Callithrix jacchus: one gene and its partners. The protein of the gene in region 1 binds, or shares a complex with, the protein of each later gene. Links are inferred from orthologs where the notes say so. Each region holds a gene or a part of one and is shown in the gene's direction. Other genes may lie near its edges. The genes, in order: SORT1, NTS and GRN.

Region 1 (4,659 bases):
CCATGTCCCCCGAAGCTGATACAGTTTGAGGAAGGAAATATAAGTACTGTAAGCCTGTGACAACTAAAAGCAACATATTAAAAAGTGAACGTACAGATAATTGCAACGAATTTAAGAGTTTAAGTGTATTTGGTAATTTCTCCAGGAGATGGCACTGTTGAGGTGTTTTTGTCTTTTCAGTCAGTAAGACAATAGACCATTCATCTTTGTGTCACCTAAACAAAGAAATATTCCTTTATAACCCCCTTTCCTCCCCCCACCTAATCACATGCTATTGCAACTGACTGTCTTGTGATCTACTCCCATAGTTGGCATAGATTTTAAAATAATTTATTTTAAAAATTAATCTGATAGTCGTTATGAAAGGAACAAACTATTCACCAGTTTTCATCAGCTTTATCTTGTCAGTCCAGTAACTGGTAACTTAAAGACTATTCTTGTGATTTTACTCTCCTGCTCAGATGGCATTCAAAAACATTTTTCACTTCTCACGTCTTACTATGGTTGTTTTGGGAAAATTTTTAAATTCTTAAGTCTTTTTGTTTGAAAGTTAACGTGACTAGAAGTATTTTAATGTAAATATTGGGTTGCTGCGTTGTATCATTTTGCTGTACATTGTATACCCTCATTTGGTTTTATGGCCAGCGTATAGTTAAAAGTCATCTTTACTTTCTTTGAGTGTAACGATTTGCATATTTTGTAGCTTTCTATTTGCTACCTTTTCTACTCAACAATTTCTAACTTTCCAAAGGGACAGAGTCAGTTTAAGGATTCAGAACTGGTTTTACCTGTACTACGTGTTGTAGAAGTTATGTGTGCAGCTTCTGCAGTAAAGGGAACAGCGTAGGGCTTTTATTTTATTCATTGGAGGTGGATTGGGGTTCTAATTTAGAGGACATCACATACTGGAACCAAACTTGTGCGAAGCTCTCACTGCAGAGCTAAGGCATTCTTGTAAAGTACATGTGCATCTAGGAAATTATCATGTAAACGGTAGGCATTGGGTCATTTGCCCCCTTTTACCTGCCCCTAATGTCTAAGTTACATTCGAAGTACTGGAAAACCTGTAATTCCGCCTTTGGCCTACCTCCCCGCAGAAGAGGAAGGCGAAAGAGGCTAAACGTGTGGAAAGTCTATTCTTCAGGCTTGCAGGAGTCTCGGATGTCCTGTCGTCTGTCTCCGTAGGATGTGACCCACACCAGTTCGCATTCACCTTGGCAACAAGGGGGCTGCTTAGCCGACAATGGGCGCTCCAGTGAGCGGGGTTTATAAAAACCTGAAGCCCCGGTTCATGATGGAGCTCCTTTTTCCAGCTGAGCGAGCTCAGGGATTCCCCGGGGGAGATTTTCCAGGCTCTGCCTCACCGAAGGAATTTTAGGGGTGTCTCTGGGGAACAAGAGGGAAGTAACACAGCTCCAACTTGAGGGCGCTAGAGGTGCGGCGAGGGGTCGCGGCGCCAGGAGCCCGGGGCTCGGCGGGAAGGTGGGAAAAGCTCTTACGTGAACTCAGTCAGCCGGGCCCTGGAGACGCTGGGCGAGGCGGGGTTGACCTCAGCAGTCTCTGCCACGTTCCAGCCAATCAGTCCCGCATCTTGGCATCCGAATCCAGGACCCCCGAAGCCGGAGGCGACGCGAGCCAATGAGAAGTGGGCCGGGAAAGAGGGACAGGCGGCCAGCCTATGGGGCGGAGAGGCCCGGCCGCGCGTATCCAAGGAGCGCCGCGCTCGGCTCGGGGGTGTGGCGCGCGCCGGCGGGGGTAGGCGGGCGCGCCGGGCGGCAGGTGTCGGCGGCGTCGGCGGCGTCGGCTTTCGGCGGCGATGGAGCGACCCCGAGGAGCTGCGGCCGTCCTCCTGCGCTGGCCCCACGGCCTCGGCCTCTTTCTTCTCCTGCAGCTGCTGCCGCTTGCGACCTTCGGCCAGGACCGGCTGGACGCGCCGCCGCCGCCTGCTGCGCCGCTGCTGCGCTGGTCCGGCCCCATTGGGGTGAGCTGGGGGCTGCGGGCGGCGGCGGCCGGGGGCGCGTTTCCCCGCGGCGGCCGTTGGCGTCGCAGCGCGCCCGGCGAGGACGAGGAATGCGGCCGGGTCCGGGATTTCGTCGCCAAGCTGGCCAACAACACGCACCAGGTGAGCGGGCGCCGGGGCCGGGCGCCGCTCGGCTTCGAGGTGCCGCCAGTGCGCCCCTCCCGGCCCGCGCGCCTAGCTCGCCCCGCGACTCCCGAAGGAGACCCCGGCCCCACCGCGTCCGCGCCACCCCGGGCCGCAGCTCGGAAACTGCGGCGGGCAGGCGGGCGGAGTCGGGCCCGGGCGGCCGGCTGGGCTGTGTTTCGTCACAGGGGAGGCAATCTTAGACTTCCACCGCATTCTTCTTTTTTTTTTTTTTTTTTTTTTTTTTTTAAGTTGTCAAAATCTCTTGAGCGTCATTGTTTTCCGTCTGTATAAAAAATCAGGACCCAGTAAAGCTGTTAGGCCCCAGGAAGCTGGAGGAGTAATTAATTAACTCTTGAGCGGTTGCAGAAGTTGGGCTGCGCAGAAGCAAAGGTGTGTCCTCCCTGGGTCAGTACTTTCGGGGTGGAGAGGCGGGAGTTCAGGAGGCCAGAAGCAGCGGTCGGGTCACCGTGTGTGTTTTGATAGTTAAGGGGACTAGCTTGGAAATGAGATGGTAGTATTTATGTGATCTCTCTTACTCCTTCAGATTTGACCTTCTGTCGTGGTACGGAACCCTGACTAGTATGTCTACATCTGTGGTGATAAGATTTTCAATACTTAGGAAAGGAATTGCATACATTCTGCTTTGAGCCAGTTCTCCGTCAAAAGACTTTCAGAATTGTGGTATTTCTGTCCCTGGGGACAAGCAAGCTCAACCTTTGCACACTACTGGATTGACAAAACCAGTTATTAAGAAAGTCCTGGCTTCTTGCTTCTGCACAACTTGGGCATCTTCTTTTTCTCTATAATTAACAATTTAATTCTTGCTAGCTACATTTGCATAATGTATTTTCAATTCTATATATTTTCTTGCTTGCTTGTTTTCCTCTTTCACAGAGAATGAATTGCACTTGGGGGTAGGGATGGGTGGCCAAGGCTCTGTGCTTGCACTTGTCTTTCTGTAATCACATTTCAATATCAGCCAAGCCTCAGTTTCCCCTTGGACTGCCCAGTTATCTGGACCATACTTGTTACCTGTGATAGAATTCTCTGATCTGGGGACACAAGACACAAGTATTCAGGAATAACTGTGCTTAGTGCAGCTGGAGCAGCAGTTGTATAAAGGAGGCCAAGCTAGTGCTGAAGGGTGGGACAGATTGAGTAGAATGAGTACTGGGAAGTCTTCCTACTTGATGAGAAATTAAAAAAAAAATAATAGAATAGACTTCCTTCTCACAGTGGGGGGTTGAGAAAGGCTTTACAACACTGATGCTTAATTTATACTGGACCACTTCCTTCCCTGAGCCAGCTGGACACAGCATTCTTATTCCATATTTCAAATTCTTCTCTTGCTGGTTGACCTAACTTTAGGTCTGCAGCTACTCCTGGATTTAGATTTACTCCTTTTTTTTTTTTTTTTTTTTTTTTGGACAGGGTCTTACCTCAGCCTTCTGAGTAGCTGGGACTACAGGTGTGCACCACTATGCCTAGCTAATTTTTGTGTAATTACTACTTTTTTGAGATGAGGTCTCACTCTTTTGCCCAGGCTGGAATGCATTGGTGCGATCACATCTCACTGCAGCCCTGACCTCCTGGGTGCAAGTGATCCTCCCACGTCAGCCTCCCAGGTAGCTGGGACTACAGGCACATGCATCTAGCTAATTGTTCTTTTCTTTTTTCTTTTTTGGAGACAGGGTTTTGCCCAGTTGCCCAGGCTGGTCTTGAACTCCTGGGCTCAAGTGCTCCGCCCACCTTAGCCTTCCACAGAGCTGGGATTAGAGGCCTGAGCTACTATGCCCTGCCTCTGTTTATTCCTTGAGGCAGAGTCTTCCTGGTTAGTTTGAATTGATATGTCATTTGTAATATATTGATTGATTCCAAAGCAAGAGGTTGAGAAAACCAGCTCAGGGGTTCTAAGGCCAAATCTATGGATGAGCCAAACTAAAACCACTCCTTCTTTAAGAAATTTTCTTTTATTTCTTTCATTTAGCAGTTTCTAATGATTTTTTTTTTTTTTAGCTTTTCTCTCCCAGTGTTTTTTCAGTGACCTTATTTATAATAGCTATTTTGGCCAGGCACCATGGCTCACATTTGTAATCCCAGCACTGTGGGAGGTCAAGGCAGGTGGATCACTTGAGGTCAAGAGTTCGAGACTAGCCTGACTAACATGATGAAACCCTGTTTCTACTAAAAATACAAAAATTAACCAGGCTCAGTGTCATGCACCTGTAATCCCAGCTACTCCGGAGGCTGATGCATGAGGATCACTTGAACCCAGGAGGCAGAGGTTGCAGTGAGCCTAGATCACACCACTGCACTCCAGTCTGGGTGACAGAGCGAGACTCTGTCTCAAAAAAAAAAAAAATTGCCCTTGTTGATCATCTGTGGTCTCATCCTTTCTGTATCTGGTTTAAAAAAAGAAAAGTGGAGCCTTTGTTTAATATCCTTTACCTCAAAAGTGGTTAAGTAAAGTACCACTTCCTTAACCAAGAATTGTTATGTAGTAGCCTGTTCTA
Region 2 (4,723 bases), on another chromosome or scaffold:
AAGATGCTCTGATAGTAACAGGAAAGCACAAATCCTCACATGGAATCTGTTAAGTGAAAATAAAAAGCGTTTCAAGCTTCCATTGCTCCCCCTAACGGTAGGAAACCAGAAAACATCTAGATGTATATATTTCACATTTCTTTGTCAATTAAATGCTTTACAGAAACCTTCCTCCAAGTATGTTCAATATTGTGTTTTATGTAAGTTTACAAAATGAACTAAAAATAATAAATATATCAACTATTATTAAATTCTTGTTATATGAAAGAGTCCTTGCTATCTTAAGTAATTATTAAATGTTTGGAATTCATCTCTTTCCTTAAGTTTAGGATAAAGGTGAAAAAGTTAATCTCATAGACTGTATAATGTAAATCAATTCTCTAGAGGAATCAATCCTATTTTTTCTCAACTGTTACTACATGATTGATTTATTTAAAAATTAAACCAGGCTCAGACAACTTTACATTTAAATATTTACTCTAACAGCACTGACTTGTCAAATCACTCCATGTATCTTGAAATGCTGAATACAAGAAGAAAGTTTTATGTTAAAAGGCGCTTTGAGCAATTTTCTTTTGAGAACTCAGGCAAAGAATGGGTATCAGTGTAACTCATGAAATACAAGAAGACGATCATAGAAAAGTGACTTTGGTGAATGGTGGTTATTTAGGATTGTCTCCTTTCCAAAAGCACAATCTCATTTTTATGATGAATAGAGGATTATCACAGGGAAAAAAGTTGATGCAATAATAAAAACTAATGAGAGGAGAATCACACAAAGAATAAGACACAGCATCAAAAATGAATTCAAAAAGAGCAGAACAATATAGGTACAAAAAGAGATAATGAACAGGAAAAAAAAAGTCAGTGAGACAACAATACACATTTTTACCTGAGAGCATGTAAGTAATTTAGAGCTGGATTTTATAAACATGAAATTGTTTTTCTAATACATTCAACCAAAAGTCAGCATACATAGTTCAGTCATCTCTCATTACTTACAATAAAATATTTTCCATTTGTTAGGAAATAATATCTTATTCCCTGGATCTATTATTTCTTTTTTATTGATTTTCTTTCTAATCTCCAAATTTATTTACTTAATTTTTATAACTGATTCTCTGTCTATATTCTGTCTTATTCTAGCATGGATTATTTAAAACCTGTATTAGTTTTGGAACCAGTAAACATTTGCTCAGAAGTTTGGATTACCAGAAAAGAACCCTACTCTTTAAGAACTTCCCAGCCTAAGAAGTCACTGATTTCATGGATTCATCCTGGAGATTTTGCTTAAAAATTAGAAATAACAGATCTCATGTTTTACAAAATCAAAATGACAACTTTTGGAGTGGGGGAATGAGAAATGGGAAAAGAGATCAGTATGCTGTATATAGCAGTGCTTTTGAATGACTCCTTCTGTGCGTCAGAAATCCAAAGCAGCAGCAGCAATTAGGGAAGATCGTCACTTTCACTCAAGGTTCAGAAATGGGGGTGGAAAAAGGGGGGACAAATGAATCGGAGAGGAGAAAGAAGGGAGGGATAGAGGTGAAGATAGGGCACATCCTGCAAAGATAATGCCTGTACAATCAATGACATCATCCTGCTGCTTATATATGTAGGGGAATGGCCAGAGCACTTCTCACAGTTCACTCACTTTCAAAGCCAGCTGAAGGCAAGAGGAAGCACGAGAGAGAGCCCCCTTCAGTGTCCTTCTGACTTTTATGAACTTGGCTTGCTAGAAGGCTGAAAGATGATGGCAGGAATGAAAATCCAGCTTGTATGCATTCTACTCCTGGCTTTCAGCTCCTTGAGTCTGTGCTCAGGTAAGCAAAACTGCATTTCACAACTCCCTGAAGTGATTTATTTTTTCTCTTTTGCATTGTGTTGCTACTTATGTTAATGTTTTTAGGATTTACCTGTCAGTGATAGAAACTGTGAATATCTTTTTCTCTGCCTTTATGATTACAATAACTGAGAGATTTATTTTCCCTTTTAAAATCTGCAAAGCAATAAAAGGGATTTCAATGAAACACTGCATGACCCCCTTTGTAATGCAACCATGAGGAAAAAAATACTACAAAACTTTCAATTAGGCTGGTCATTATCTAATGAGAAGTACATAAGCAGTGTCTGTCAACCTGCGAACTCATCATTAATCCCATCCATTCAAAATGTTTTATTCTCATTCTCATTCATCTCTTAGCAAGCGGTGGCCCTCATGCCATTTTAATAGTCCTCATATTATCTTCCTACTTGTTTGTGTTAAGATAACACATGAAGTGCAAATTGATGCTTAGTGAATAAATAAAGCATTATTTGTAGAAAATTATTTCTAGAAAAATACAAAAATATTCCCAGTCCTTTTTGAGAATACATTGTGCATAGTCTAATAAGTATGCTATTAATATAACAGTTTGGTACTTTTTCTCCATGCCATTTAAATTAATACAGAATTCAGTTGGCCAATTGGTATTCTTATATTGATGGAAATGATTTGACTTTAGAGTGTTTTGCATGCGGTATGAAAGGAGAAGTTATATAGTCCTAAATGTCTATGAATAACTCACTTTGAAAATGAGATGTAAATTGAAAGGTGTAACATGAAATATTACAACCATTGCAAAAAGCTCTACTTAGTATTTAAGAAATATTGGAATGACCACTTCAAAATGAAAAGAACACCTTAGAAAGAAAATGCAGCAAAAATAATTTAACCTGTTCTATGCCTTTAGGTATCATAAATATGACATTGAAATGTTTAATTCAAACTCATGCTACAATTTGATATGAAATTGAAATCTAAGAAGATATGTCATTTATGCGATTATTTTAATCATCAGAAAATAACTTTAAATCTTATGAGAAAAACAAACATTTTTACAATTATGAGTTTATCTGAAAGTTATGTGAGATTAAAGCTTCAATACTTCTGAAAGAAAAACTGGATTATTGATGAAGCACTGTGTTTGGTAACTTGAAAGTACTTGCTGTAATAATGCAAAAGTTATGAGGATTTTGATATATACATTGTTCATAAATGAATAATAGAATTTGCCATTCCTTTTGAAAAATAGATTATGTACCTAACAAATAGGGAGAAAGATCTCTTGTACAATTTAGGTTCTAGGTAATATCAAACAAATGGTTTCTCTGAGTGTGACATTTCTTTTTAATGGGTGTGTAATACAAGGAAGATAGAGTCATTTTTAACTTTATTTTTATTATAGCATTTTCTAAATTTTCCTTCTCTGTAAAATATTCATTAACAGAAACTCAGATAGAGTTTTTTAAAAATCCCGTGATCCATAGTCAATGCTGTCGTACATACGATGTTGAACAGCTCCACTTTTGCTTAAGCAATTTCCTTAAATGCTTCTGATAAAATTAAAAATACATAATTCCAAATTCTTGTTTAAAGTACAAATGCAGTTCCTTCAAAGTGTGTTTTTGTTAAAAAAAAAATCTCAAGTTAAGTAAATCTCAGTATCTTTATTATTCAAAAATTATCAATAAGCAATTCCCTTTGGTTTTGACTTGAAAAAGTCTCTTATATAATCTTCATTAAGTTGTGTATTTAAATGTTAATATGCATATTTTCTATATATGTAAACTATGGCTGGTAAAAAATAAACTACCCTAGCATATTTGGTAAAATATGTATTACACAATATGATCACATTTTTAAAATCTGAAATTTAAAGAATAAACAACTCCAAGTCATCAATAGCTGTCTGAACAAACAGTCATATGCATTTTCTTAGAAGTGCTTCTATTATTTTAGCTTCCTATTATGCTAAAATATAACTATAACTTGTTGTTTAGGGTTACTATTTTTAAGAAAATACATTAGAAAGACTAAACCTCTAAAACTAATATTTTAGATCAACCTAAAATTTGTAGATTATGATATAATTATATGATATGTGATTATAGTAAACGTGATTTTGATTTTACTCAGATTCAGAAGAGGAAATGAAAGCATTAGAAGCAGATTTGATGACCAATATGCATACATCAAAGGTAACTTTTTATTTTCCTTAACTCTTGGTTGAAGACCATATGAACTTTCATTATAAACATGGTATGTTTTTCCTATAGTAATAACTTCCCATCAAGATTGAAATGTTCCTTGAGAGGCATTTCCTTTTTGAAAAAAATTTCTTTTAGTAAAAAGAAGTCAAAGGTGCTGATATGAGAGGCAAAGAAACTAGAGTTCTATCAATCAGCATGTTGCAATTTTAATTAATTGTCACACATATTTACGTGGCTGTAAATGTTTTTAAAGAAACTTGTTTCCATGCCTTTTACATTGGGTATGATGAAAGGTGTATTGGCCTCAAGTTAAATGAAAACAAAGTGAACTCTTTGCTTTTTGCTATTATATTAGGGGAAATAAAAAGGTATTCTTAAATTAGAAGTAAAAGTTCATGACACCCTGTGAAAGAAATGTAGAAGAAAGGGGAGAGCAGTGGACTGGCAAACAAGAGCTTTGAGATCTAATCCTGAAACAGTGACTTATAAATATTTGATCTTTAGCAAGTGGATTAATTCACCTTGCTTACTTGTGTTTCCTTGTTTTTAAATGCAGGGGTTGCAGTTCATAATCTTCTAGACATTTACCGTTCTACAATGCATTTAAGAATTACTAAACTGTACTCTTCATTGTATGTCTGGATTTAAATTCTCCCTATAACAGACATGTTATTTTTACATGTTCCTTTTT
Region 3 (4,771 bases), on another chromosome or scaffold:
CCAGGCACCCAGCAGCGCCTGAAACCCACTGTCATTTGAACGTGGCATTCAATCCCTGCCAAGCCTGCCCTTCCCATCTGGTTTCCCAGGGCTCTTCCAAAAATCTCTCCCTCCACCTGCCAGTTAAAATCTTCCCAGACTCAGCTCAAGGAGATGATCCTGAAGTGGAATTAAATCTCTCTTCTCCCGGCCCGGCGCGGTGGCTCACGCTTGTAATCCCAGCACTTTGGGAGGCCGAGGCTGGTGGATCATGAGGTCAGAAGTTCGAGTCCAGCATGGCCAACACAGTGAAACCCTTGTCTCTACTAAATATCAATCAATCAAGCAAGCAAGCTGGGCGTGGTGCCAGGCGCCTGTAATCCCAGCTACTTGGGAGCCTGAGGCAGGAGAATAGCTTGCCGGGAAGCGGAGGTTGCAGTTAGCAGAGATCGCGCCACTGCACTCCAGCCTGGGCTACAGAGCTAGACTCTGTCTCAAAAAAGAAAGAAAGAAAACAACAACAAAACCGCTTTTTCCCCACTTGAAGCCAATCTACTCCGTACACCTGGCACCTGCGCACAATCTTTTATCTTAAATTAGATCCAATGCCAGGCGCTGTGGCTCACGCCTGTAATCCCAGCACTTTGGGAGGCCGAGGCGGGTAGATCACAAGGTCAAGAGATCGAGACCATCCTGGTCAACATAGTGAAACCCCGTCTCTACTAAAAATACAAAAAATTAGCTGGGCACGGTGGTGAGTGCCTGTAATCCCAGCTACTCAGGAGGCCAAGGCAGGAGAATTGCCTGAACCCAGGAGGCAGAGGTTGCGGTGAGCCAAGATCGCGCCATTGTACTCCAGCCTGGGTAACAAGAGCGAAACTCCGTCTCAAAAATAAATAAATAAGATCCAGCTTGAGCCTGTCTCCTACCAACCCCTGCCCCCCGCTCCCGCCCCGCTGACTCCTTGAGGAAAGGGCTTGGGGCTGCTTATCTTTGTCTTCAAATCCATCCTTCAACTCCGTCTGGGGCCTGCCTAGCATGTCATCCGAGTTTGCAGAATAGGGCAGGACGGGACAGGGCAGGGCAGGGCAGGATAGAATGGGAGCGAAGGAGCCAGCCCGGTAGCTCACGCCTGTAATCCCAGCGCCTTGAGGGGCTGCAGTGGGAAGATCGCTTTGGGATCAGGAGTTGCAGGCTGTAGTAAGCTATGATCAGCTAGGGCAACCATCACTCTAAAAAATAGAAAGGGGAAATTAAAAAAAAAAAAAAGAAAAGAAAAATAAAAAGGAGAGCACAAATATTCCCAATGCCCCACACACGCTATCATCTCTAGCAAACTCCCCCAGGCGCCTGCAGGATGGGTGTGGGAAGGCAGCAAGGAGAGCACCGGCTGCCCTGTTGAGGCTGGCCCGGCGTCACATGATTCCCCAATCACATGATCCCTAGAAATGGGGTGTGGGGCGAAAGGAAGCCGGGAGGTGAGTGATTTGAGTAGAAAAAAAACACAGCATCCCAGGCTGGCCCCGCCTCTACGTCGATAAGTAGCCAATGGAAGCGTCGTATCCCGGACCTCTGGCCAATGGAAACTGAGGTGGGCGGGTCATCGCGCTGGGGTTTGTAGTCCGTGAGCTGCTTGACTGGCTGCTGCTACCCAGGGACCGCGGACCCGAACGCAGGTAGGAGGGCGGCCGCGCAGACCTCTCCTACCCAGGGGCCTGGCCAGGGCCATGTGCGCTTGGGGTTACCCTGGAGTATCAGCCGGAGACGACAGAATACCCGCTTATTGAAACTCCTTTGGGCGTTCCTATACACTGGAAGGAGTTATATGGGGGAGAGGAAGCAGTAATTGCAGTGACCCCCGTTAGAAGGGGGCTCTCCCTCCCCAGCATTCCGGGAAGCTGAAGTCCTTTCCCCCAAAGCAGGGACCACGCCATTCTTGCGCCAGATCTACCGCTATCGGTAGGTGCCGGCGTCTTCCCCTCTCGCGGTGGTGCTGGGTGGTCCCCGCGGCAGCCTGGAGCCAGAGGGGCGCGCGACCCTGGGCTGGGAGCTCCAAGGGCCTGGGAATCGGACCTGAGACTTTGGCTTCTCGAAGGTAGTAGGGACTTGGGAGTGGTGACAGAACCTGGTCTGGCTCCTCCTTACTTCCTCTTGTAGGGGGTGGGACGAGCTAACTTCCGCCTCTCCCAGCCACCTTTTCCTGCTCATTTGCAGCGAGGTTGGCTCCCCTTTTGGGAATTTCCTCTCCGCTTGGCACTCGGAGTCGGGGAGTGCCACCTAGTGGAAGATAACAGAGCTAGGGCTTGAAGAGGCTGCTGTCCTTTCTGGCTGTTTTGGTGGTGTAGGGTGGCGATGAGAGGGTGTGTTTGGCTCTCCTCCTCATCCCTGCTTCTGTATGCCCGTGCATGTATTGAGTAGAAACGTACAGTATACTCCTTCAACTCAGTGTAAACAGGAGGGGGCACATGCACAGGTAACTCACCAGGGAGCCGAACAGTCCTGTGCAGACAGGCTCCCCTTCCCAGCAAGCCAGGGCAGCAGACAGCCTGCTGAGAACACCCAGGAAGCATGTGGTGCCAGCTGCAGGTGCTTTGCCCAGGAGCTGTGAGGCTGAGGAGAGGGTCCACTGTCCAGTACCAGTCAACTTCACCCTTATCTGGCCAGGAGGTGGCCTCTTGGGGATGTTGACTTAGGGGAGGGGCACTTGAGGAAAGCCAGGTGGAGCAGAGGGTGTGAGTGACTGGGTGGGGAGATTTCCTGCCACTCCCCCACAGTGGTGTCCACACAGAGACTCCTGGGGGAACTGAGGCACAGACAGGGAGCAACTTCTCAGGCCATCACAGTTGGCAATTCTAGGATTAGGACCCAAGTGCGATTTCCAGGCAGTCCCTGTACCGTTTTTGTCCTACCTGATGCATCTATCCCCCTGGGGCTTAGGGTCCATTTCCAGGCACTGTCCATCGTGCCGCTAGTAATATGAACCCAGGTCCAATATGTTCTGGGCCCATCAAAGCCTGTTGTCACAATGACCTGATGTGTGACGTGTTATAGGTGTCCCTTCATGGAACTGGGTTCAGGACCCCAAAATCTGCAGATGCTCAAGTCCCTTATATAAAACGGTGTGGTAGCTGGATGCGGTGGCTCATGCCTGTAATCCCAGCACTTTGGGAGGTTGAGGCAGGCAGATCACCGGGTCAAGAGATCAGGACCATCCTGGCTAACATGGTGAAACCACATCTCTACTAAAAATACAAAAATTAGCTGGATATGGTGTCATGTGCCTATAGTCCTAGCTACTCAGGAGGCTGAGGCAGGAGAATCACTTGAACCCAGGAGGCAGAGGTTGCAGTGAGCCGAGATCATGCCATTGCACTCCAGCATGGGCGACAGAGCAAAACTTCGTCTCAAAAAAAAAATGAGCAGGTGTGGTGGCACGCACCTGAAGTCGCAGCTACTTGGGAGGCTGAGGTGGGAGGATTGCTTGATCCCAAGAGTTTGAGTCCAGCCTGGGTAACATAGCAATACCTCATCTCTAAAATAAAAGTAAAGATGTTAATTACTACTTTGGATGGTGGTTGCACAGAAATAAAATATGAAGTGTCTTGTAACTGGCTTAGAAGCCAGTTACAAGACTGTTTTCACTCCTTCAGGCTGTGTAACCTCTCTGGCCACCCCCCTGAGCTAGCTGGGCTAGCTGAGCCTGGGAGAAGAGTTGTTTAGGAAGTGAGAGGCTGCTCCCCACAGAGACTCAAGGCTCAGTTCCTCCTGGTGACTCAGATGGGCAGCCCAGTGGTCACACGTGGTCTCTCTCCACATGTGGCTGAGTTTCACTTCCAGAATAGAGGGAGAGGCAGGGATGGGGATTAGCATGCTTGGGGAATCTCAGAGGGCCCTAGAGGTGTGGGGGACCCTCAGAACACAGGTGTCTCAAAGGCTGACTCAGCCTGTGTCCCTTTCCCTTGGCGAGGAGGGGACATTAATGGCAGGTGGTGACTGGCCTCTGGGGAGGGCAGCCCAGACTCTGCTAGCCACCATACTTCCTTTTTCACAACCTTCTCACCCCTGTGGTTTCTCATGTCCTCATGTGGCTGCTTCCCGCAAGCCTTACTGGGGTACAGGTATGAACATGATGTCAGGCAAGGAGGCATCTGGAGGGGAACCCTGGTTTTTTGGGGGGGGACTCCCTCTCTGCCCTCCAGCCCTGTCCTCTCCCATGGCTACTGATGCCTTCCCCTCACCTCAGAGATATCCCACATCTGCACAGATCAGACCCCCAAAAATCACATCTTCCTGACTTGTAAGCCTGCCCAGCGAGGCCCAGCTGTTAGACCATGCGTTGGGGATTCAGACGCACAGGTATACACATGTCAGCATTCATGCTCACAGGTCCGCACGCGCTGAGGCGTGTGTCACACACAGGGCGCTGTAGTCAGCCGACTTAGCCCCTGCAGCTTTTTGCCTGCCTGGACAGGGAGGTGTTGAAGAGGCTCAGGCAGTCCCAGGCCAGGACCTTGGCCTGGGGCTGGGGGACTGAGTGGCCTCAGAATCAAGGGTGGAATGGGCTTAAGCAGTTGCCAGATGCTCCTTGGTACTTTGCAGGCAGACCATGTGGACCCTGGTGAGCTGGGTGGCCTTAACAGCAGGGCTGGTGGCTGGAACTTGGTGCCCAGATGGTCAGTTCTGCCCTGTGGCCTGCTGCCTGGACCCCGGAGGAGCCAGCTACAGCTGCTGCAGCCCCCTTCTGGTGAGCGCCCCTCAGCCTAGGCAAGAGCTGGAAGCCTGGGTTTTCCCA

The links.
Region 2: the proteins of SORT1 (region 1) and NTS are in contact, whole or in part, in a crystal structure (PDB 4PO7), measured with the Homo sapiens proteins. The link is inferred for Callithrix jacchus from reciprocal best matches to the Homo sapiens genes SORT1 and NTS. Residues at the interface, in NP_002950.3 of Homo sapiens: Val112, Ser113, Leu114, Ser115, Trp116, Lys260, Tyr304, Ser305, Phe306, Gly307, Leu308, Phe314, Ser316, Arg325, Ile327, Phe350, Tyr351, Ser352, Ile353, Tyr395, Gly399, Thr570, Gly571, Leu572, Ala573, Trp586, Trp597; in NP_006174.1 of Homo sapiens: Leu152, Tyr153, Glu154, Asn155, Pro160, Tyr161, Ile162, Leu163.
Region 3: the proteins of SORT1 (region 1) and GRN are in contact, whole or in part, in a crystal structure (PDB 8T8S), measured with the Homo sapiens proteins. The link is inferred for Callithrix jacchus from reciprocal best matches to the Homo sapiens genes SORT1 and GRN. Residues at the interface, in NP_002950.3 of Homo sapiens: Leu108, Gly110, Ser111, Val112, Ser113, Leu114, Ile174, Gly175, Pro176, Lys260, Tyr304, Ser305, Phe306, Gly307, Leu308, Phe314, Ala315, Ser316, Arg325, Ile327, Phe350, Tyr351, Ser352, Ile353, Leu354, Tyr395, Thr398, Gly399, Thr402, Phe404; in NP_002078.1 of Homo sapiens: Pro578, Arg579, Trp580, Asp581, Ala582, Pro583, Arg585, Arg590, Gln591, Leu592, Leu593.

What each region holds. Positions count from the first base shown.
Region 1 is NC_133508.1:147,277,846-147,282,504, reverse strand, and holds the start of SORT1 (sortilin), read left to right. Parts: upstream 1-1,751; 5' UTR 1,752-1,816; coding exon 1,817-2,122; intron 2,123-2,427; exon of another isoform or gene 2,428-2,536; intron 2,537-4,659.
Region 2 is NC_133510.1:95,528,351-95,533,073, reverse strand, and holds the start of NTS (neurotensin/neuromedin N), read left to right. Parts: upstream 1-1,641; 5' UTR 1,642-1,750; coding exon 1,751-1,823; intron 1,824-3,958; coding exon 3,959-4,020; intron 4,021-4,723. UniProt on the Homo sapiens protein: Neurotensin may play an endocrine or paracrine role in the regulation of fat metabolism. It causes contraction of smooth muscle.
Region 3 is NC_133506.1:71,185,759-71,190,529, forward strand, and holds the start of GRN (progranulin), read left to right. Parts: upstream 1-1,622; 5' UTR 1,623-1,655; intron 1,656-1,898; 5' UTR 1,899-1,938; intron 1,939-4,578; 5' UTR 4,579-4,585; coding exon 4,586-4,723; intron 4,724-4,771. UniProt on the Homo sapiens protein: Secreted protein that acts as a key regulator of lysosomal function and as a growth factor involved in inflammation, wound healing and cell proliferation. Regulates protein trafficking to lysosomes, and also the activity of lysosomal enzymes.